Caenorhabditis elegans: one gene and its partners. The protein of the gene in region 1 interacts with the protein of each later gene in a pairwise test. Each region holds a gene or a part of one and is shown in the gene's direction. Other genes may lie near its edges. The genes, in order: ubql-1, reps-1, ubxn-4 and png-1.

Region 1 (7,569 bases):
ATCCTTTGTATGCATTTCATATATTTCTATTCAATGTGGCTTTCGTTGCTGTTTTATCAGCTTTCGCGTATTTGTCAGTGTCACTGCGATCGATATATGAGCGATGGCTGTGTAAATAAGTATGGTTATCTTACCTTGACGAGAGCGACTGGTGGATCGTTAGATGCGAGTTTTGGGGCAGCTCTCTCATACTCTGGGGCAATTTTCTTGCAGTGTCCGCACCAGGGAGCGTAGAACTTGACAAGAGCAATGTCGTGGGTTTGGATGAGATCATCGAAGTTTCCGTCGGTATACTCGAGAACGGCTCCTCCAGCACTGGCGAACGCCAGGAAGGAGGCGACCAAAGCTGCCTGGACCCAAATCATTACCTAAAAACTTTACCTATAAACGACAATCGATCGAGTGAGTTTAGAGGGCGAGAGATTATCGGGAACACCGACAAAAAGTTAAAAACTAAGAAACAAGATTAGAGGTTTTCAGATTATTCAGAAATATTTTCTAGAAATTGAGCGAACGATTGAAGAGAAGGGAAGGTGTTTTCGCAATTAACAAACCGCGATCGCATCGAAAACGTGAGCCGCTTGACGCGAAACGTGTTTTCGTGGCGAGATACCGCGAGCGGTAAAATCAATGCGCCTTTACTTTATTTATTTTTTTTTCGCATTTATTTTCATTCTTTTCTGTGAATCACATGTGAATGGACAAATACAGATTGTTTCGGGTTCAATTTTAAGTATTTACAAACACTTTTCAAAAATTATCTTTAATAAGTGGAAAATACAGTTAGTAAATAACTATAAATTTTAAGCTTAGAAGAAGAAAGCCAAAAAACATGTGTTGTATGGAGGAGAAATTTTATATAGACTCGGGGAGCGTTATATCACTTTTAATGATATTATTACTAATAATCCAGAAAATGCAGAGCAGAAGCATAAAAATAGACCCGAATTGTTAAGGTCCACGTGGCGCTCGTGTGTACACCAGGGATTGGTAGGAACTGAGCCAAAAACACGTCGTTCACTGCCTGTCGCACGCGTGTTGTGTGCCGATTGGCCTCATTCTTGTGAGAACTCCGCCCAATGGGTCTCGCACGGAAGAGGCGACCATCATGTGTCGATTTACGCAACTACCGCATCATTTTATTGATCATTGTTTTTTATTCATTTTATGACCTGATATAGAAGGAATCGACGTTAAATTGGAAGGCAAATTGATTGGAGCGCCATTTAGAACTTTAATTTCTTATTTTTATTGTAAATTTGAATCGATAAAAGGAACAAAAAGATCACCATGGAAACCAAATTAGTCATCACGTGCATATTGAAGCTCGCGCGTCAGGAAGAATTGTGTCTTCGTTTATCTTCGTTTATTTTCTATCGAAGAGACCCATTACATTATTACATTATTCGGTCTGAAATAGTTGCGAAATTTCTTTTTGCGCTTCGAGAATATTCTCGATTTATCGATGCAACGTGTTCTTTTCCGTCTCCGCCTCTCATTCTCTCAATCCTTTTTCTTTATTTAATTTTGTCGGTTTTTTAATATTTCTCAAATTTAAGATGGCTACAGAGAGTGCACTCATCAAAGTTCACGTGAAATCACCGTCGAACAAGTATGACGTTGAGATTGCTGCGGATGCATCAGTTTCAGAAGTATGTTATATTTTATTTAAAAAATAAAATTTTGCTCTTGAGAATTAGATAAAAATTCAAGTGATTATTCCATTTTGATAAATTAAATGTGTAAATCACAGTGTTTAATTAATATTTTACAGCTAAAAGACAAGGTTCTTGTGTTCGTTCCAACTGCGAACAAAGAACAAGTTTGTATAATTTACACCGGAAAAATTCTGAAGGATGAAGAAACTCTCACACAGCACAGTAAGTTGAAAAATGTGTTCCAAAAAATAATAAACAAAAATTTAGAAATCGCTGATGGTCACACCGTCCACTTGGTTATTAGAAATCAAGCCCGTCCAACACCAGCGCCGGCTGCTGCAACACCAACAGCTTCATCTGCACCAAGTTCCAATCCAACACCTTCTTCACAACCGAATCCTACCAATAATCCATTTGCAGCAATGGGAGGAATGGGATCACCTGCTGATATTTTAAACAATCCAGATGCTATGCGTTCAGTTATGGATAATCCAATTACACAACAACTTCTAGGAAATCCAGAGTTTATGAGAACAATTATTCAATCCAACCCACAATTCCAAGCATTGATTGAGGTTCGAGTTTTTCCTGGATATTTGTTTTGTAAATTTTCGGATTCGAAAAATTATTTAATTTTTTAATCTTCCACATTTCTCTCGTATATCGACAATAAATATTTTCAGAGAAATCCAGAAGTTGGACACATTCTCAACGATCCGAATGTAATGCGTCAAACTATGGAGATGATTCGTAATCCAAATATGTTCCAAGAAATGATGCGGAATCATGATCAAGCTATTAGGAATCTTCAGGTACATTATATATAGCTATGCTGATCAAGGGATGCCATTTTTCAATTTTTCAATGTTTTCAGCGAAAATCGAAACATCGAAGAAAAAAAGTCCAGAAAATTATCAATAAAATTTGATTTTTATCAAGTTGTGTGACACACAACTTGTGTCATATATGTTGGTGACAAAAAACATACGAAGACATTTTAATGTTATCTAACAATTGTCTAAAAAAAAGAAAAATTACCAAAATTTAATACCATTTTTTAAAAATTGAAAAAGTCGGTTTTTTCTCTCTAAAATCGAAAAACGAAAAATTCTGATTTTTCAGTTTTAGTTTTAAAAAATCGATCAAGGATGCCGATCTAAATGTCTAAATATGACTATTAAAAGTAATTAATTGTTATTTTAATTGATATGGCAAAAAATTGCTAATTTTTTTTTAATATCAGGGGTACATTTCTGGAAACTATATATTCCATCCCAGCCGCGCTACAGGGGTTTTTGTCTTGAATTCCAATTTCAACAGATTTTCCTTTTTTTCGGTTGGATTTGTTATTTTATGTTGAAACATTCAATTTTCAGGGAATTCCCGGAGGAGAAGCTGCTCTTGAACGGTTGTACAATGATGTACAGGAGCCCTTGCTCAATAGTGCAACAAATTCGCTCAGTGGAAATCCATTTGCTTCTCTAAGAGGTGATCAGAGCAGTGAGCCACGTGTCGATCGTGCTGGACAAGAAAATAATGAAGCTCTGCCAAATCCATGGGCTTCAAACGCCAATCAAGCTACCAATAATCAATCGAATAATCGTTCTGCTGACTTTAATTGTAAGTTTTTCTGAGTCAAATTTCTCTAAGTAAAAAAAAATCTTACATTAAAATCATATAATAATCAATGACGAGTGGCAAATGCCAAATATCAATTTGCCGAAAAAATTAAAAAATTGTAAATGTGAAAAAAGATTTTCAGCAATGTATTTTTGAACATTTTCCTTAAAAAATTTCCAACAAAAATTTCAAAACGACAAATTTCCAATTCGCCCAATTTTACGTCTGCCGCCCACCATTTATTATAATTTTAAACAAAATATTTAAACGTCACGAATATCCTCATAGTTTAGTGATCCGTTAATAATGTTTTAATTCATATTCAGCATTGCTTGATTCACCTGGCATCAGCTCCCTAATGGAGCAGATGATGTCCAATCCAAGTATGCAGGCCAGTATGTTCAGCCCAGAAGTCATCAATTCAATTCGTCAAAATATGTCAAACAATCCTGGACTCATTGATTCCGTTAGTTTCATTTTTAAAAAATTTAAAATAATTATGTAAGTTCAGATTGTTGGACAAATTCCATCGGCTCGTGATAACCCACAGATTTCCGAAGGAATTCGTAGAAGTTTTCCACAAATGCTCAACATGGTTTATTTTCTAAATTTTTACAAAAATTTATATTTCAAAATTTCAGATGTCTGATCCATCTGTGATGGAGGCAATGAGAAACCCACGGGTCAGTGAAGCATTCCGTCAAATTCAAGAGGGATTTTCAACTCTTCGCAGAGAAGCACCTCAACTTTTGAAGTATTTGAAAATACCATTTAGTCAAAAACTATTTAAAATTATTTTAGCCTTTTCCAAGCTGGAGCAATGGGAGGTGGAGCATTCGGTTCTGATGCCAATGCATCTTCTGCTGGGTTCGTTGATAGTTTTTATAGCTGATAGTTTTTTCTCATTTCAGAGCAAACTCTGCAAACGGACTTGCCGATTTATTCAATTCAATGAATATGGGAGGAGGAAGAGTGAGTATATTGAATATTTGATTTCTTATGTCACTTCTTATGGGAGCAGAGGTGATTATTTTCAAGTTCGGCCTTCTCGAATTGTCTAGAAAAAAAAATATTCAGAGTGAAATAACGAGATAATAAGATTTTATGAACTGAAAAAGAGAAAATTTCTATTTAAAAAGCTAAAAAAAAAGCATTACTACTGTAGAAATCAGTTTTTCTTATTTTTTATTCATTGCAAAATTTGAAAACTCGACAATAGCCTATTTTTGGATTGTGAATTTATCGAAGTGGTAAAATTTTTTTAATCGGCAATTGCCAAAACTTTCTATTGTCTGTATGATAGTTATTGAAACATCATGGGTTCAAAGAACTTTTTCAGCTAATTGAACTATTTTAAGCTTTCCTTTCTAATTCAATCGACAGATCGATTTAGAATAATATCACCGAATCCAATAATTTCCCATAGTATAGTTTTTTTTATACTTCCCTCTCGATTCCGTGGTCTTTTGAATTTTCCAAATTGAAATGAAAATTTGGATGATTAGTTGAAGCCTCACATCAAATGAAGTTCCCCCTTCATTTCATATATCAAAGTTTTTGCTCAAATTTAGAAGCTGATGAGTTGCGCCGAGTCGCCGTTTGCTCTGTGACAGCGACGGAAGTGCGCGAGCAAGAAAGAAGAAGTCATCGTGTGTCTGTTCTGAATAATGTAACAAGACGATGCTCCGTCTTCTGCTTCTTCTGTGCCGTCGTCGCTGAGCAGAAGCAAAAGTCGGCTCGTTTGACATGCTATGGATAAATGTTAGATAATGAGTATAAAGTGACGAAGACGATGGCAAACTGATGACAGCGTGCACGATCGAAAATCTTTTCCTGTTTGCTCAGAAAATGCAATTATCATATCGAATTTCATTTAGACCCCGGTGGCGTATCTAAAATTGTTTCGAAATTCTGATGTCTCGGCCCTTTCTACAGACAGAATATACTCTTAGAAAAGAGAAGTGTGGGAGATTTATCATGAGTTCCCCCAGTGAAAGAGGAAGGCCCCTCATTTCCTTGTCTTTTAATTTTTGATGATTGTTAGACGAAACAATTTGAATTGGAAACAAAAGCAATAATTTCTGCATTTTTCGTTTTCATCACTTGACATAGGAAGTGTGAAAGGCGGGCATCTTATCCATACGAATAGATCAGATTTTTTAATTTTCGTCGACGTTGCACTACTGGACCGAATGCTCTCGCATCACACAACACATTGTTGGCACATACATGTTATATGTCATTTTACATTTTCGATTAATTTTGTTCAATACCAAAACGTGGATGAGTGTGTGTATGTATGTGCATTGCCCACATAAAATGATATTAGTAGGCGCACATAAAAACGTTGATCGACAAAGGCTCGTCTCTTCACATAAATATTACACATTTCACAGCAAAAAAAACTATGTTCAATAATCAGATCTTTTTTGGGATGAGAGGGCAACACAAAAGCTGAAAGGAAACTTTCTTATCACAGAACCTTCAATTTTAGTAGATGTGATCTTCACTACATTAGGGGTTATTTGTACGCACAATGCCAAATTTTCGGAAAGTTGAGCTTTTTGTAAAGTTTAGAGCATTATTCCATGTTCGACACCCTAAAATGTTTTAATACAAAAAATTAAATTATAATACTTGAATAATTGCCTATTTTCGGTCGAATTCCAAAATTAAAATAGGTGGTATCTAGGTAGTTGCCAATTTCGACTGCAAATTAGGAAACTTGATTTTTCGAGAAGTTTTACTACGATATCTGATCTATATTTCTTTTTTCTTCGGCCCCTTTAATAAGCAAATCAGTGTTGCTCTTTTTGCTTCCCGCAATTGTTAGGAGCACATGTTTTGTGGCATATTTAGGATGCGCGACGACGTATTTGCACACACACACACACACACATTCCACGGATCGGATGTCACTATAATCTCATCTTGTAAGCGGTTACGCTGCTATCAAATTTATCCCGTATGTTTCAAGCAATTGGCCACAACATTTGTTCTCCCCCTTTTTGTTATAACTGCTGCTGCAGCTTTTGTCTCATTAGATGATTGTTTTGACGACATTTGCATAGATCATAGTAAACGATGTGTCTCCAGGAATATTGTGTAATGGAATAGTGCGCGAGGTTGGTGCGCATGATGAGAGCAGATAGGAAAAAGGACGGCGACGTTCCCCTTTTATTCATTCAACAATTGTCTAATCGGCGATTGTGTGGAACACGCGCCGTGCCATACACGTATTTCATTTCATAAAGAGGCAGCTGGCGAACATCTTCCGGTCTTCTCGTTTCCCGCCTTTTTTGTTAAGATGAGCCGATGCAAATGATATTCGAAGTGATTAGTAGTGGAGTCTATTAGGAGCCGACGTCCGAAACGATGGGATGATCTGTTCAGTGGCAAAACACTTAGTGTCTTTTGAATAGGCATTCGATTGGTTTTCTTGTTCTTACAATAGACAGATGGCTGGTTGCATGGGAAACAGTTCTTTCGAACACCTGTATCAAACCTGTGATATAGTTATTTTATAGTAGAACATCGCTTCTCTTGCTCAGATCATATTGAAACCTTGATTTTTGCATTAAGGATAAACAATAAATTCAAATATCTAAAATTGTTTCTCCTTTAAAGTAGTTCCCTTAAAATTACGATAGCTAAATCCGAAACATAGTCCAATCATTTCTTCTCATTAATTAGTATGTTGATGGAATTGTAGGGACATGTGTAGAGAGTGGAGGACACGTTGTATCACTTAATGCATGTTGTCGAACTCGTCAAAGTATGGTGTAATGCATAAATCGAATGAACGGAAAGATGCGGTAGTGCTGGTCACAATAGGAAGAAGAACAAGAGGGGTCCCATGCAAAAACACATATGACGCGTCGATTCGTCCAACTGCTCCTCTTCCTGTCTCTGTTATTATTGAGAACAACACACTCATAGATATAAATGCACAGATACTCGTTGTTCGCGCACTCATTTGTTTCGAAACATGACAAGCAAAATGCGTTTTTAGAAGATAAACATCGTAGCACTGACTCGTAATATGTAATGAACAATTAAGAAGCAGCTCTACGCATGCTATGTGCATTTCCCTCATGTTTTCAAAATTGCCTATTCTCAGAGGAAATGTTAATTTGTGTCTGTGTGGGTATGTATGTGCATCATTTCAATCAAGTGCTCCGCTCTCCTATAGACCATATTTTTTGTTTCTTGGGAATAGATTTTGGAATGATTGCCTTCCAAATACAAAGATGGATGGATTTGGAATTGAGCCTCTAGCACAACAATAATT
Region 2 (6,866 bases), on another chromosome or scaffold:
AAACTTGTAGTTTGTAGTCTAAGCAGCGCCCAAAAGTTGTAGTTTGTAGTTTAGCAGCGCCCAAAATTTGTAGTTTGTAGTGTTAGCAGCGCCCAAAACTTGTAATTTGTAGTCTAAGCAGCGCCCAAAACTTGTAGTTTGTAGTCTAAGCAGCGCCCAAAATTGAATTAGCAGCGCCCAAAAGTTGTAGTTTGTAGTTTAGCAGCGCCCAAAATTGAATTAGCAGCGCCCAAAAGTTGTAGTTTGTAGTGTTAGCAGCGCCCAAAACTTGTAGTTTGTAGTTTAGCAGCGCGTAAAATTGAATTAGCAGCGCCCAAAAGTTGTAGTTTGTAGTTTAGCAGCGCCCAAAATTGAATTAGCAGCGCCCAAAAGTTGTAGTTTGTAGTGTTAGCAGCGCCCAAAACTTGTAGTTTGTAGTTTAGCAGCGCGTAAAATTGAATTAGCAGCGCCCAAAAGTTGTAGTTTGTAGTTTAGCAGCGCCCAAAACTTGTAGTTTGTAGTCTAAGCAGCGCCCAAAATTGAATTAGCAGCGCCCAAAACTTGTAGTTTGTAGTCTAAGCAGCGCCCAAAATTTGTAGTTTGTAGTGTTAGCAGCGCCCAAAACTTGTAGTTTGTAGTCTAAGCAGCGCCCAAAACTTGTAGTTTGTATTCTAAGCAGCGCCCAAAATTGAATTAGCAGCGCCCAAAACTTGTAGTTTGTAGTTTAGCAGCGCCCAAAATCACATTTTCGCTCAAAATTAACCAAAATTGCCGGTTTTTTCGCATTTTTCGACGGAATTTTCTGTTTAATTCGTTAAAATTTGGGAATTTTTATGATTTTTCAGCGGAAATCGCTTGAGCAGCGCCCAAAACTTGTAGTTTGTAGTTTCCACGTGGGGCTCAATTCCTCGAAACTTACACAAATTCGCCAGTTTTGAAGCTTTTCGTGTCATTTTTATCGTGAAATTCGACATTTGTGGGTTTCAGCGCCTTATCAACATAAAATTCACTGTCCAATCCATACAAAAGCTGTCCTTTATCACTAATATCATCACTTTCTCGCCGTTCCAGCAGCTCTTGCGGTGCTTCATCATCATCATCATCAGTCGGTGGATCCGAATCGAATCCGCTGCTTTCCCCGCCGCCGGCTTCTCGATTTTCAGCCGGCGGTAGATCACCGGATTCACTGCTCGCCGAGCTGTCTGGAGCCCCCCCGGCGGCCGAAATTCCGACGCCATTGTACTCGACGCCATATCCAACGTACCAGCCGTCTTCTAAATTCGAATTATCAATCGAAAAAGTGTCGATTTGAAGGATTTCGCAGGGTTTTGTGGATTTTTGAGCATTTTCGTGCTGTTCCATCGTTAATCCTTGCTTCCCGAGCGCATTTTTCAGCGTTTTCAGCTCTCTTTTTGTGAGATTTCGGGCTTTTTCAGGAATCTGCGGGATTTCGGACGATTGGGGCATCAGAACCTGGAAAAAATAATTGTTATGCTGTTAAAATCGAATTTTGGGGCAAAAAAAACCTTAAAAATACGATTTTCCGGCTGAATTTCATTATTTTTCGCAAAAATTTCAGATTTAGCTCGAAAATCGGTTGAATCTTGCCGATATTTGATAGTTTTCACCCGTAAAAACCCCGAAATCCATGAAAAACCACTTTAAAACTGAAAAACAAATTATACAACTAGGAAATGGATATTTTTCAGCGTTTTAGGTGTATGAATAGGAGATTTTAACGCTTTTTTAATTAATTTTTGCTTTAAAAAACTGATTTTTACCCAAAAAATCTGTGAAAATTGAGTTTTTCAGCTGAAACATCGTTTCAAAACGAAAAAATAAATTTGCCGGCACGAGAATCGCGCCAGTCAACCCCCTTTGCGCATCTCCAGTGCGCTGGCGCATTTCTCGTGCACCAACTATTTTATTTGCTTTTCCGCGAAAAAATCAATTTCCATGACAGAAAACGACAAAAAATCGCAATATTTTTCGAATGGAGACTTTGAAAAAGTCGCTGCCGATATTATTAGTAGTCCGAGACGTCTGAAGCACACGAGTCCAGGTGATTATTTTGAAAAATAAAGAATTTCAGCTCGAAATCGGCAAATTTGATGCAAAAACGTGGAAATTAAGCTGAAAAACGGTGAAAAATCCAGAAAAATTAGGAAAAAGTGCAAAATTATCCTCAAAAATGAGTAGTTTTAATGAAAATATAACCTTTTTCGATTTTTCTCAAATTTTTTCGCATTTTTGAAGAGATTTCCGCTATAAAACAGATGAAACTAATTTAAAAAAACCACTTTTGAAGGTTTTTGAGTGAATTTTTTGGGCGCTGCTTAGACTACAAACTACACAATTTTAGGCGCTGCTAATTCAATTTTGGGCGCTGCTAAACTACAAACTACAAGATATTGGTCGCTGCTAAACTACAAACTACACAATTTTGGGCGCTGCTAAACTACAAACTACAAGATTTTGGGCGCTGCTAAACTACAAACTACACAATTTTGGGCGCTGCTAAAGCTACAAACTACACAATTTTGGGCGCTGCTAAACTACAAACTACAAGATATTGGTCGCTGCTAAACTACAAACTACACAATTTTGGGCGCTGCTAAACTACAAACTACACAATTTTGGGCGCTGCTAAACTACAAACTACACAATTTTGGGCGCTGCTAAACTACAAACTACACAATTTTGGGCGCTGCTAAACTACAAACTACAAGTTTGGGCGCTGCTAATTCAATTTTGGGCGCTGCTAAACTACAAACTACAAGATTTTGGGCGCTGCTAAAGCTACAAACTACACAATTTTGGGCGCTGCTAAAGCTACAAACTACACAATTTTGGACGCTGCTTTTCCGTTTAGCGGCGCCAAAATCGATTTTTTCTATTTTTAAGCACATTTTCTCAGGGAAAATTGCAAAAATCGAAATTATTTCGGTTTTAAAGCTAAAAAACTCGAAAAAATCCAAATTTCCCCAATTTTCAGCCGATTCCAACGCGGATTCTCTCTTCAAAATCACTGAAAAACAGCAGGAATACTACACAAAATGCTTCCGTCACTTAATAAAAACCACTCAAGGCGCCGCAGACCTCTGCGGAGCCCTTTGCGGAGCCGATCAACGAATTGTAGCGTTTTTCAAGAGAAGCTCGCTGGATATGAGCTCTTTATCGAAAATCTGGTCGCTGGCCGATGTGAATGAAGACGGATGGTTGGATTTAAACGAATTCTCGATTGCGATGCATTTAGTAGTGTTGAAAGTGAAAGGAGAAGTTCCGATTCCTGATGTGCTACCCGGTTTCGCGCGGCCACCACTTACAGAGCCACGGGCTCCGTCTACAGTTGCGGCGACGCCTAGTCCCGCCGGTGCAGGACATGTAGAAGCTGATGGGCCAGTGAAAAATGTGGGGGTTTTTGAAATAATTTAATTGACTTTTGAATATGTATCATCATTCAAAACATTAACGACGTTTTTTTTTTAATTTCGAATTTTTCCAATTCCAGTGGGCAAACCAGCCAATCATCAAACAATTCTCGGATACACCGCCATTATTAGTGGACAGTAGGCCAACAGCTATCAAGCATTCTGCATTGTTAGCACTTAAGAGTCCACTGGGTAAGTTTGGATTCATTGAAGAAATTGTTGTAGTGTTTATTATACTTCTCAAATGTGTGAACACAATATAAAAAGTTTAAATTATTGACTAATAATAATTTATTCGAAAAATTGCTAGTTGAATAGCAGTCATACTACAAAAACTACAATAGTTTTCGATTCAAATGTTTTAGAAAACCTAGTTTTCTAATCAGTAACATAGTTATTTATATACTGACTAAGTAACTAATTATTTAATTAATAACTATTTAAGTACGTTTTTAATTCGTGACTTAGTTAGTAATTAAAATACTTACTGAGTTGCTAATTATATAACTTGGTAAGTAGTTAATTAGAAACTTAGTTATGAAATTACTAACTCAATACGAATTTAATTACTAACTTAGTGAGTATTTAATTAGTAACATAGTTATTTAATTTATAACTCAGGAAGTATTTAATTAGTGACTTAGTTAGTAATTAAATAACTAAGTAAGTATTTAATTACTAACCCTGTTAGTGTTAATTAGTAACAAAGTGAGTATTTAATCAGTAACGTAGTTATTTAATTTGTAACTAAGGAAGTATTAAATTGCTACTAAGTGAGTATTTAATTACTAACTAAGTGGGTATTTAATTAGTAACAGAGTGAGTTTTTAACTACTAATTTTCTTATTTAATCATCATCTAAATAAGTACTTAATTAGTAACTTAGTAATTAAATTACTAACTACGTAAGTATGTAGTTAGTAACTTAGTTATTTAATTACCTAAATAAGTATTAATAAGTATTAAGTATTAAGTAAGTTCATTAAAACACGCAACACTCAATATTTAGTAGTATTTGCAATCTAAGAGCAGCGCCCGAAATCAATAATCCATATTTTCAGGACCCCCACCAATTCCACCTGTCCGCCCACAACAACAACAACGTGGACACAACAGAAGTGCAAGTCTTGACTTGAAATTGATTGCATTGAATAAGACAAAAGCCTCGGCGGAATCCCAGCTACCACCAACTACCCTATCACTTTGGTCATCACATTCCGATCCGACAGCTCAATCGATTAGTACTACAACGACTACGACTACTTTTGCGTCTTTTCCTGGTATGAGACTGAAAAATTGGGCAGAAATTCGAAAAAAATTTTAAAAAAACTGGAATTTTTCAAAAAATATATTGCTTTCAATTTTCGAGAAAAAATCAAAATATTCCCAATTTCCGCAAATTTTCAGCCACCCCGGACAGTATTCCACCGCCGATTCCACAAAGAATCACACCGTCACCTCTACCGGTAAGTTAAGGGAAAGCTTTTAGTTGTAGTTTGTAGTCTTAGCAGCGCCCAAAGTTTGAAATTATTCGTTTTAACGAATTTTTAAGAAAAACTTTTCAAAATTGCGATAAAATCGAAAATTAGTGTAGTTTTTATTTTCTGAACAGGTTGAAAATCACAAAAATATGATTTTTAAACAATTTTTGGCTATTTTTTTGTGCGCTGCTATTTTTTTGGGCGCTGCTAATTTTTGGGCGCTGCTATTTTTTTGGGCGCTGCTAATTTCTTGGGCGCTGCTAATTTCTTGGGCGCTGCTAATTTCTTGGGCGGGCTGCTAAAAATTTACTTGTAGTTTGTAGTTTTAGCAGCGCCAAAATTCAAAAATACTCATTTTTAACCATTTTTCTTCAAATTTTTCAAATTTTTCACTGAAAAATCTCCAAAAATTCACAATATTTTTGCAGAGAGTCATCGAAGAGGAAAAACGAATTACCACAACAGATTCATCAACACAAACTACAGAATTACTCTATTCTGAGGAAGATGTGAAGAGCTTTTTCTCGAAAATCGGCCATCAAATCGACGATTTAATTGGAGAAGAGATTCAGGCAACTGATGGGCAAGGAATTGAACGATGGAAGGAACGTTGTACAGCTTTGAGGACTCAAAATTCGGAATTAGAAGCCGAAAGAGCACGGTTGGCTCAAGTACGGATTCAATTGGAAATACGAATTCAGGAATTTGAAGAGAGATCCAAAACTGCGTGCTCTTCTTCTACACTTTAATGATATCCCCGGTGGAGGAAAAATGGATGGGAAATTCGAATTTTTGAGGAAAAATAGGAAAAAAATAATTTTTTTCGGCTTGAAAAACTAGGAAATAACACATTTTATTTCGAATTTTCCGGAAAAAATTTTTTTTTTGGAAAAAACTCAATTTTTAGCTGGAAAAATAGAATTTTTAAAGATTTATTACGTTTGGTTAGGAAAATAACAAAAAAATTCGAAATGTATCAATTTCTATGGAAAATTATTTTTTCTGAAAATTTATTGATTTTTCTGAAAATTTATTGATTTTTCTGAAAATTTATCGATTTTTCTGAAAATTTATTGATTTTTCTGAAAATTTATCGATTTTTCTGAAAATTTATCGATTTCTATGGAAAATTTATTGATTTTTCTGGTTTTTCGCATTAAAAAACATGAAATTTGCCCATTTTAGAGCAAATTTTCAAAAATTTCTGAGAAAAAGGTATTTCCCGAAATTAAATTTAACTTCTAAAAAAGTTTTTAATTATTTTCTATCAAAAATTCGAATTTCCCACCAATTTCTCCCCCAGATTCCCCGCAAAAAACTAAAAAATCTGCATATTTCTTCATAATTTCTGTGATATGTCATATATATATTTCATTTTTACCTATGTTGTAATTTTTTAAAATAAGCATCAATTTTTCTATTTTCTGTGATAATTTAATCTATTACACTATCTTCTTTTTTTTTTTTGAAAAAAAAAATCATAAAGTATGTATTGATTTTTACACACATTAAAAATAACTATTTTTTAAAATTGGAAAATATATATATATAAATTTTTCCAAAAAAAAATGAAATAACATGAAAGATGGGAACTATCTAAAAAATTCGGACAAAAAAATTATTACAGATCCGGCTAAAAATTTGGAAAAAATTCCAAATTTTGACAGAATTTGAGGGATCTATTATAAAAACTGCTAGAATAACAAAAAAAAAACAAAAAATTTTCGAGAAAAAAAATTATTACACATTCGTGACGAATGTATAATAATCTTAGCAGAACTAAAAAAAAACAGTAAATTATTGTTGAATTCCGAGTAATTTCTTCATCTGACGACCGTATTCCCGCGTTTTTTCGACAGTTTCCTCGCTATTTCTATAGGCTTTCCACATTTCTCCGAATTCGTCAATCGATTTTTGATCTCCACATCCGGCGGCGCTGGGGCTTAATCCAGGCGTCAACTTGGCTTTTTCCAGT
Region 3 (3,866 bases), on another chromosome or scaffold:
CTAAACAGATTTCTGACAAACCGATAAATATTCCGATGATCAGGATCCCGTGTCATTTGCTCTGGAGGTATAGGATCTCTCTGAAAAATCTTCGAAAAATGTATGGAACTTATGGATTGATTGATAAAACTTACGAAAATCGGATGAAGTCGTTCTTCGAAAATCTCCATTAGTCGCTCGTGTCCACGATTTTTACGATTTGAAATATGATAATATATTGCAAGAGAAATGCATTTTATTGTATTCTTAAGATGAGGTTGACTGACTGTTGAATCATCTAAAATTTGAGAAATCAGAGAATGTTTATGAAATCTTTAATTACCAATATAAATAGTACTGCAGCTGCTTGATTTACGCAGGCTTCTGGGTAAAATTCCGGGATGATGACCACCAGCTGCCAATGCATCCAACATATAACATGAACGACGATTGTCTTTTACTGGAATTGATAAGAATAGATTCAAGGATTAGAAGAAAAAGAATTTTACATTTCATTTCACTTTTACTTCGTTCCATAAATGTTGGCCGAGCTGTTGGATTCGTTGATGGATCTTCCTCGTATCCTTAAAAAATATGAATTTAAAAATATATACTTCAGTGATATAATTACCTTCTGTTACCTCTCGTTCACTTATGTGAGGAAGGAAGTTTGTCGATGTTTCATCACGAGGGAACACTTGATTGACATACTGGAACTGAATTTTAAATTTAGGTTTTTGTAGAAAGAGGTTTTCGAATATTTTTACCTTTAAAATATAATTTTAAATAATCTTGTACTCGTGAAGCTTATTAAAGCCCTTTAAACCAAATTTGTGTAAATAAAAAATATTATTCTCTTCGAAATGTATATTTTCAGAGCTTTATAGTTTTTTTTTAAATTAAAAACAATTATTCCAACAATCGATATCAAAGTTTCCATTTATGCAAACTTTTTCAAAAAATAACTTTGTATACCTCCACTTGATTAGTTCTAATATACTGTCCATCATTATTATACGATTTGTCCTCTCCGCTCGACGACCTCGTTCGCAGACAACACGATGAATTTCCCATCACCTGTAAACAATTATTGGTTTAAATTCAAAGTTTCAAAGACAATGTTACTAATTTCAACTTACGGAACACGTTTAATCTCCAAAAACCAAAATTATCGCATTAGGAGTGACTAGAAACTTGGGAAGCGAGTCCTGCAAATTAATGGAAAATCGATAAAGTGTGGGGAACGGAGCACAAGAAAAAATCTGTCTAGTAATGTTTATTCAATTGTTAATTGATAAATTGTTTGCAAATTAAATATAAAACAAATATTTTCTATGAGAAAAGCGAAGAAAAACAGAGAAAAATCCATTTCTTCAATGTAAAAATCGCAGAGAGCGGTGGTGGGCGGAGTTTATGGCAGGAGGCGGAGTCGGAATGCAACCCCCGCACGGTTTCTTCTCTCCACGAATTATTCGACGTCTTTTTATTTTTATAAATTTTTTAGCCACTTTTTTATTTATTTTGCTGGAATAAATCAATTAAGAACGCTTTCTGTAGAAAATTTTAGGTTATTTTATCTCAATAACTAAATGTTTACTCTTCGATTTCTGAAAATCGTATCTTTTCACATGAATCGATAAGTTATATTAAAATTTACAGAATGCAGTGGTTTGGTGGCAACGTAGCGACTGCGATTCAAATTTCCCGTAAGAACAAAGCTCTTCTCATTGTATATATCACCACGGATTCGGAAGATGGCCAGATTTTCGATGGGTTTTGGCAACATATCGATTCGTCAAATCTTTTATGCGCAGTAGTGGGAATAAAACTGAAAGCTGGTGAAACTTCTGCCCAGCAGTTTGCTGATATTTGTAAGTTGGAATGTTTAAATTATAGCAGTTCAGCCAAAATGTTATCTTTTTAGATCCTACACCAATTCTGCCAGCAGCATATCTAATCGATCAAAATGGAAAACCTTTGGAAGTCATCACTCCGCTCGTTGGAAAAACATATGACCAGTTCCGAGCCAAATTTGATAAAGCTACTGCTCAATTCGTCAATGGGATGCCAACAGCAGCTGCAAATCAACTTTCAACACCTAGTCCTTCTCCCGCCCCTGTCCAAGTACCAGCGTCAACGGATGCCCCAATCCCAGCCCCAACACCTGTTACAGCACCAATTCAATCTTCATCAACTTCTCAGGAAATGACTCGTGAACTTGCAGAGAAGGTAGCAAGAGCTAAAGCTCTTCTAGAGCAAAAAAAGCAAAAAGATGCTGAAAAGAAGCGAGAGGCCGACAAACATGTAAAGGAAGAAATGACAAAAGCACGCGAAGCAAAACAGGAAAGAGATGCTGAAGCGTTGGTCAAAGCAGCGAAACAGAGGAAGATGGAAAAATTGGCAGCCGAAAGTGATAAGAAACGAATTTTGGCCCAAATTAAAGCTGATCGGTAAGATTTTAATTTAGTGTTTCTAAAATATAAATATTTTTCAGCGAAGCTGCTCAGAAAAAGTTCGGGAAACTTGTGAACACTGAAAACGCTTCGGAGAATACTGAAAAGAAACAAGAAACCACTGTTGGAAAGGCTGTGCCATCAGACAGGTTAGAAAATTAATTGATAACTGATAATTTATGAATTTATTGTAGGTGTCGTCTACAAGTTCGACTTCCTGATGGTTCTACTTTTGTAGAAGAATTTCCTTCAAATGATGTTCTCAATTCTCTCGTAGAGATCATTCGTCAAAAGCCCTCTATTGCTGGAACTACTTTTGAAATTCAGCAACCGTATCCACGCCGCATATTTACAAATGATGACTATTCGAAAACATTCCTCGAGAATCAATTAACACCCTCTACCGCACTTGTCGTAATTCAAAAATCGTCGGGTTCCTCTTCAAATTATGGATCTTTCTCGCTCAGTACTCAAACCGTATCCTTTGTAACATGGGTTTTATACCCACTCACTGCTTTTTGGAATATTTTCTGTGGTATGATTGGCTGGAATTCTACCGGAAAACAACAAGACTCGAAATCTAAGAAAAACGATGGGCCATCTACATCGGGTCAATCAGGATCACAACCACAAAGACGCGGGATGCCAAGGAGTGCGGAAGTTCGTCGGGTTTGTGTGCATTGTTATTTTCTTTCCATAATGAAATTATTTTCAGCGTGGAAACGTCGCAGGGCTTGAAAATCCGAATGAAGACGATCCTGAAGAGCGAGCCAGTTTCAATGGAAATTCTACTCAGTTCATGTAATAATGTAAATTTCTTGTCGCCTGTGATTCCAACACCAAAAGTTCATCGCCATGGATAATTTATTTTTTGCTCGTTTATAATTCGAATCGAATAAAAGTTTTCATTTATCCCAGATATGTTCAGTTTTCTTGCTGAGTTTTCGGATTTTAAACCATAACTTTATACCTATTCTTTACAATGTTAAAAACATATTTTCTCAAACTCTATTGTGTTAAGATGACAGAAACAGAATCCCAGAAGCAAATAAAACTGGAAATATGCATCGATAATCTGGAATCTGCGGAAAATGCTGTTGCCGGTGGAGCTGATCGATTGGAAGTTTGCTCAGCTTTACAACTCGGAGGGCTCACTCCATCCGTCGGATTTGTGTCTATTCTGAGCTACAAGTATCCCGATATTCCACTTTATTGTATGATTCGCCAACGGGCAGGCGATTTTGTGTATAATGAAGACGAAATGGCAGCGAATATGGAAGACGTTGAATGGCTCAAAAAAGCTGGTGCCACAGGATTCGTTTTTGGAGCATTAACATCGTAAGTCGGAGAGTTTTAAATTGAATGAAACAAATAAATATATTATAATTTTATTTCCAACATGTTTAAATGAAAAAAGAAAAACATATTCTTGTT
Region 4 (4,698 bases), 4.4 Mb from region 1:
TTCGGCGAATTTTGGCCGAAAATCATATTTTTGAGGTGAAAATTCTGCAAAAATCGGTAGAATTTCAAAAAAAAAAACCAATAAAAATTTGAAAAAGACCAAAAATCGATGAAAAATCGATGAAAAAGCCCTAAAAATTGCAAAACTTCGATGAAATTGAATTTTGGCTTAAAATTGCACATTTTTGGTTGAAATTTCACCAAAAAATCGCTTTAAAACGCTGAATTTTGGGCAGAAAATGTGAAAACATTTTGGAAAAATCGATAAAATTCAAATTCTACAAGAAAAGCTCGAATAATGACTGAAAAAAACCCGAGAAATCATGAAAATTTGATGAAAAACGCCGAAATTTGGCTGGAAATTGCATATTTTAGACAGAAATTCTACAAAAAAATCGCTATAAAACGCTGAATTTTGGCTGGAAAATTACCAAAAAAAAACCTACGAATTACGGACTGAAAATGCGAAAAAATTAGAAAAAAACACGCAAAAATCCCATAAAAACCGTGAAATTTTCGGCAAAAGTTGTATTTTTTTGGATAAAAATTCTTTTAAAAATCGATAAAATTCTTTAAAAAATTCAATTGTTCCAGGAACACCAGAACGTGAAGCCCTGGTGCTCCGCGAGCACTCATCAACTCCGCCTCCCGAGGAGCTCCAAGAGCAGCTTGAAGAGCCCCCAAAAATCCCAGAAATTGGGCTCATTGAGCCCCCAAAACCATCAATTCCAACAACACCTGGAGCACCATTTGGAGCATGGCAACGTGTCGAAAAAAGTGAAAAAACGACGGAAATATTCGAATCTCCACTAACTGCACGATTCCGTGAAGAAGAAGAAGAACGGAAGGAGGAAGAAGAGAAAAAGAGACAAGAAGAACCGAAATTTGAATTTGGAGAAAAAACTGCCAGTGTTATGACGAAAAAGGTGCTGAAATTGAGCATCTCCTCGAAATTTGGAGCTAAAAAGCTTCTTGGAAAACGATAAAAATAGGCTTTTTTTAAGACGGAAAAGCTTGAAAATACCATGAAGAAACGTCTGAAATTGAGCTTCTCCTTGAAAATTTGGAGCTGAAAAGCTTTTTGAGCTTCATAAGGTTGAAAATCACTGAAAATTGGTTTTTTTGAGCCGGAAAAATTTAAAAATTTAAAATTTTCATTTTGGAAACGAATAAAATTTCCTTTAAAACTTTTTTTAGTTGAAAAAGAAAATTTTTTTACTAAAAAAATCGTTAAAATTATCAGAAAAATCGATATTTTCCCGAAAAAAATTGATAATTTACTGAAAAATCGACAAAATTATGTTTTTTGAATTAATAAAATTCTAGGCAAAAAAATCGATAAAATTCTGAAAAAATTTTTTTTGGAAAATCACGAAAAAACAATATTTTTCCCGCTGGAAAAGTAATAATTCGACGATTTTTCATTAGATTTTTTTCTCACTAAAAAAATTCCCTTTTTTCAGGTAAAAGGACCGATCGAATTCAAGAAAAAGACAGCAAATCGGAATATTCGAAAACGAGAGGAATAATTTAATTTTTTTTTTCTTGTCACTTATTCCCTGTAATATCTGAATACATTATTGATTTTTCGAGAAAACTTTTTTTTTAAAGTTTATTTGGTCACTTGTAAATATGTCAATTATACCTTTTTCAAGTTTTTAGCGCAAAAAATTGGCTAAAAATTTATTTTTCAGTCGAAAAATGCCGGTAACGGAAGTTGGCTCACTGCCAGAGCTCAATAATATTTTGGAGGTGAGCAGGACATTTTTCTTTGAAAAAATCAATAAAATTTTATTTTAAAAAGTCAATAAAATTTTAGAAAAAAATCGATGAAAATTCTGTAAAAAAATCAATAAAGTTTTGAAAAAATATCGATAAATTTCTGAAAAAAAATCGAAAAAATTCTGAAAAAAAATCAATAAAATTCTGCAAAAAAATTTTTAATTTTTAATTTTTTTAATTTCCAATTTCCAGCGTTCCGATGCGAATCGTCTCATAATTATCGATTTTTTCGCTAATTGGTGTGGCCCGTGCCGTATGATTTCTCCGATTTTCGAGCAATTTTCCGCGGAATACGGAAATGCCACGTTTTTAAAGGTCAATTGTGACGTGGCAAGAGGTAAAAATGGGTCCCGCCACGAAATCTTGTTTTTTCGGATTCAAAAATGTCGATTTTCCGCCGCGAGTTACGACGATTTTAAGTTGGTGGTGGCCTCGTTTTTCCAATTTCTAGGCCGCCAAGTTGAAAACTAGGCCCTAAATTTATAATGTTCGTGTTCAGCTCGCCGAGACCTTTCAGTTGACACCCATCATGCCTAGGTTTGGACGATTTTGAAATTAAAAAAAATTCGGAAAAATTTCTGGGTCCCACCACGAAAATTTTTTTGAAGGCGTTTTTGTATGTTTTCTAAAAGCTTTAAAAAATTTGCTAATGCTCGAATACTTTTCTTTGAAAATTCAAAAATATTGATTTTTCGTCAAGTTACAGCTATTTTATATTGGTGGCCTAGAAAAATCCTAGAAGGTTTCTAGGCCACCAACTTAAAACCGCCATAAATCGCCGGAAAATCAATATTTTTGAATGCAACAAAAAGTAATCGATAGGAAATTAAAAACTCAACTCTTTAGTCTGATAAATCGGTGGCCTAGTTTTTTCTAGGCCACCAACTGAAAAACTAGGCCACCAATCGATTTTTGCGTTTTTTCAGACATTGTCCAGCGGTACAACATCTCCGCAATGCCGACATTCATTTTTTTGAAAAATCGCCAGCAAGTCGACATGGTCCGCGGAGCCAATCAGCAGGCAATTGCCGAAAAAATTCGGCAACACTATTCGCCAACTCCGGCAAATCCCAACGCGGCTTCTGACTCGGAAAAGCGATTTTTGGAGCAATTTGTCAAATGTTCGAACGTACCGAGAAGCTATCAGGATGAGGTGTTCAAGGCTCTGGCGAGAAGTGTTATGCCTGAGGAGCTGGTGGGAAGAGCCATGACCGAGGGGCCGAGGGATGAGAAGGCGATTTTGAAAGGTGCAAGAAGAAAATCGAGAAAATCGAATTCCCTATCGATTGGTTTTTTCGGATCGCGAAAATGTTGATTTTCAGCCGAGTTATAGCCGATTTTTAGTTTGTGGCCTAGAAATCCAAACCTAGGCCACACTACCTCAAACTTCAGATAGACTTCGAAATTTCCTATCGGATGGCTTTTGGTTTTTAGTCCATTTGAAAATATCAATTTTCCGCGAAGTTACAGCGTTTTTAAGTTCGTGGCCGAGGATTTTCCTAGGCCACCAACTTCAATTCACCGTGACTCGGCGAAAAATTGGAATTTTTGAATTCTGAATAATTTTGTGATATCAGCACGAGTTGAAAAAGAAGAAAGGAAAGATAAAATTAATACTTTCAGTACATGGCCTAGGTTTGGGTTTCTAGGCCACCGCCAGAAAAAGTTAGGCCATAACATTGAAAAGTCGATTTTTTGCGGAATTCCTGTACTTCCTGTACCAGTTTGATTTTATTTCATTTAAGAATATCGATTTTCCACCGAGTTACAGCGTTTTTTGGTTGGTGGCCTAGGAAACTCCTAGGCCACCAACCTTAATTCACCGTAACTTGGCGGAAAATTCACTTTTTTCAATTCTGAAAAGTGATTTGACATCAGCACGAGTCAATCAAACATACAAATTTGATACATTCAGTGTTTCCTCGGTTTAGATTTCTAGGCCACCGCCGGAAAAAGTTAGGCCACGAATATAAAAAGTCGATTTTTCGCCAAATTTTCATCGAACTTCGATAACACCCATCATTTGGATTATGTTTCATTTGAAAATATCGATTTTCCATCAAGTTACGTTGATTTTAAGTTGGTGGCCGAGGAGTTTCCTAGGCCACCAACTTAAATTTACAGTAACTCGGCTGAAAATTGGAATTTTTGAATTCTGAAAAGTTATTTGATATCAACAAAAGCCGATAATTTGATATATTGAGTGCGTGGCCTAGTTTTGGATTTCTAGGCCACCAAATAAAAAGTTAGGCCATCAGTTTAAGACGTAAATTTTCGCTTATTTTACAGTAAATTCCAATACTTTATGTCAAATCTAATTCTGCGCCATACAAAAATAAAAATTTTAAGACAATTTAACATGTTTTTAAACTAGTGGCCTAGGAAAATCCTCGGCCACCAACTTAAAATCGCCGTAACTCGGCGGAAAATTCACATTTTTCAATTCTGAAAAATGATCTGATGTCAGCGAAAGCCTAGTAAGCCTATAATTTGATATATTCACTTTATAGCCTAGTTTTGGATTTCTAGGCCACCAATTGAAAAGTTAGGCCATGACTTTAAAAACTCAATTTTCGCGCGGGTTTTAACTAATTTTTCAATTTTTCAGACCTTCTCCACTGGTTTAAAACTCAATTTTTCACTTGGTTCGACCGTCCAACATGTCCCAAATGCACCCTAAAATGCTCAACCGACGGGCTCCAAGGGACTCCAACTCGGGAAGAGCAAAAAGAGGGCGGAGCCTCACGTGTTGAAGTTTACATTTGTGATGGATGTAATACGGAAATGCGATTCCCGAGATATAATAATCCGGCGAAATTGTTGCAGACGAGGTGTGAAGCCTAGAAAAATGTGGCCTAAAAAAATTGCAAATTTGCGAAAGTTAGGCGATCCATAGGATAGCCCATGAAATTCCCTA

The links.
Region 2: the proteins of ubql-1 (region 1) and reps-1 interact in a two-hybrid assay, tested with the Caenorhabditis elegans proteins (one large-scale study listed by BioGRID).
Region 3: the proteins of ubql-1 (region 1) and ubxn-4 interact in a two-hybrid assay, tested with the Caenorhabditis elegans proteins (one large-scale study listed by BioGRID).
Region 4: the proteins of ubql-1 (region 1) and png-1 interact in a two-hybrid assay, tested with the Caenorhabditis elegans proteins (one large-scale study listed by BioGRID).

Annotation. Positions count from the first base shown.
Region 1 is NC_003279.8:7,020,423-7,027,991, forward strand, and holds the start of ubql-1 (Ubiquilin), read left to right. Parts: upstream 1-1,559; coding exon 1,560-1,652; intron 1,653-1,774; coding exon 1,775-1,880; intron 1,881-1,925; coding exon 1,926-2,233; intron 2,234-2,341; coding exon 2,342-2,470; intron 2,471-3,034; coding exon 3,035-3,278; intron 3,279-3,604; coding exon 3,605-3,744; intron 3,745-3,789; coding exon 3,790-3,873; intron 3,874-3,919; coding exon 3,920-4,032; intron 4,033-4,079; coding exon 4,080-4,145; intron 4,146-4,189; coding exon 4,190-4,250; coding exon of another isoform or gene 4,251-4,271; exon of another isoform or gene 4,272-4,301; intron 4,302-7,569. Other genes in the region: pdi-3 (Protein disulfide-isomerase), read right to left, coding at 135-365. UniProt on the Caenorhabditis elegans protein: May play a role in the ER-associated protein degradation pathway (ERAD) possibly via its interaction with ER-localized proteins ubxn-4 and cdc-48.1 and/or cdc48.2, providing a link between the polyubiquitinated ERAD substrates and the proteasome.
Region 2 is NC_003283.11:18,985,438-18,992,303, reverse strand, and holds reps-1 (REPS (RalBP1-associated Eps domain-containing protein) homolog), read left to right. Parts: upstream 1-1,803; 5' UTR 1,804-1,935; coding exon 1,936-2,041; intron 2,042-2,974; coding exon 2,975-3,390; intron 3,391-3,490; coding exon 3,491-3,602; intron 3,603-4,471; coding exon 4,472-4,690; intron 4,691-4,817; coding exon 4,818-4,876; intron 4,877-5,319; coding exon 5,320-5,640; 3' UTR 5,641-6,330; downstream 6,331-6,866. Other genes in the region: Y39B6A.37 (Structural protein), read right to left, coding at 899-1,446; mrps-35 (Small ribosomal subunit protein mS35 mitochondrial conserved domain-containing protein), read right to left, coding at 6,689-6,866.
Region 3 is NC_003281.10:8,403,195-8,407,060, reverse strand, and holds ubxn-4 (UBX domain-containing protein 4), read left to right. Parts: upstream 1-1,638; 5' UTR 1,639-1,639; coding exon 1,640-1,850; intron 1,851-1,903; coding exon 1,904-2,429; intron 2,430-2,473; coding exon 2,474-2,581; intron 2,582-2,626; coding exon 2,627-3,101; intron 3,102-3,147; coding exon 3,148-3,237; 3' UTR 3,238-3,343; downstream 3,344-3,866. Other genes in the region: cyy-1 (Cyclin-Y), read right to left, coding at 1-80, 135-277, 323-439, 489-563, 611-695, 955-1,053; cutc-1 (Copper homeostasis protein cutC homolog), read left to right, coding at 3,454-3,770.
Region 4 is NC_003279.8:11,378,538-11,383,235, forward strand, and holds the start of png-1 (Peptide-N(4)-(N-acetyl-beta-glucosaminyl)asparagine amidase), read left to right. Parts: upstream 1-1,693; 5' UTR 1,694-1,700; coding exon 1,701-1,751; intron 1,752-1,973; coding exon 1,974-2,118; intron 2,119-2,707; coding exon 2,708-3,028; intron 3,029-3,084; exon of another isoform or gene 3,085-3,155; intron 3,156-4,389; coding exon 4,390-4,612; intron 4,613-4,698. Other genes in the region: wbp-4 (U1-type domain-containing protein), read left to right, coding at 594-925, 1,463-1,528. UniProt on the Caenorhabditis elegans protein: Specifically deglycosylates the denatured form of N-linked glycoproteins in the cytoplasm and assists their proteasome-mediated degradation. Cleaves the beta-aspartyl-glucosamine (GlcNAc) of the glycan and the amide side chain of Asn, converting Asn to Asp.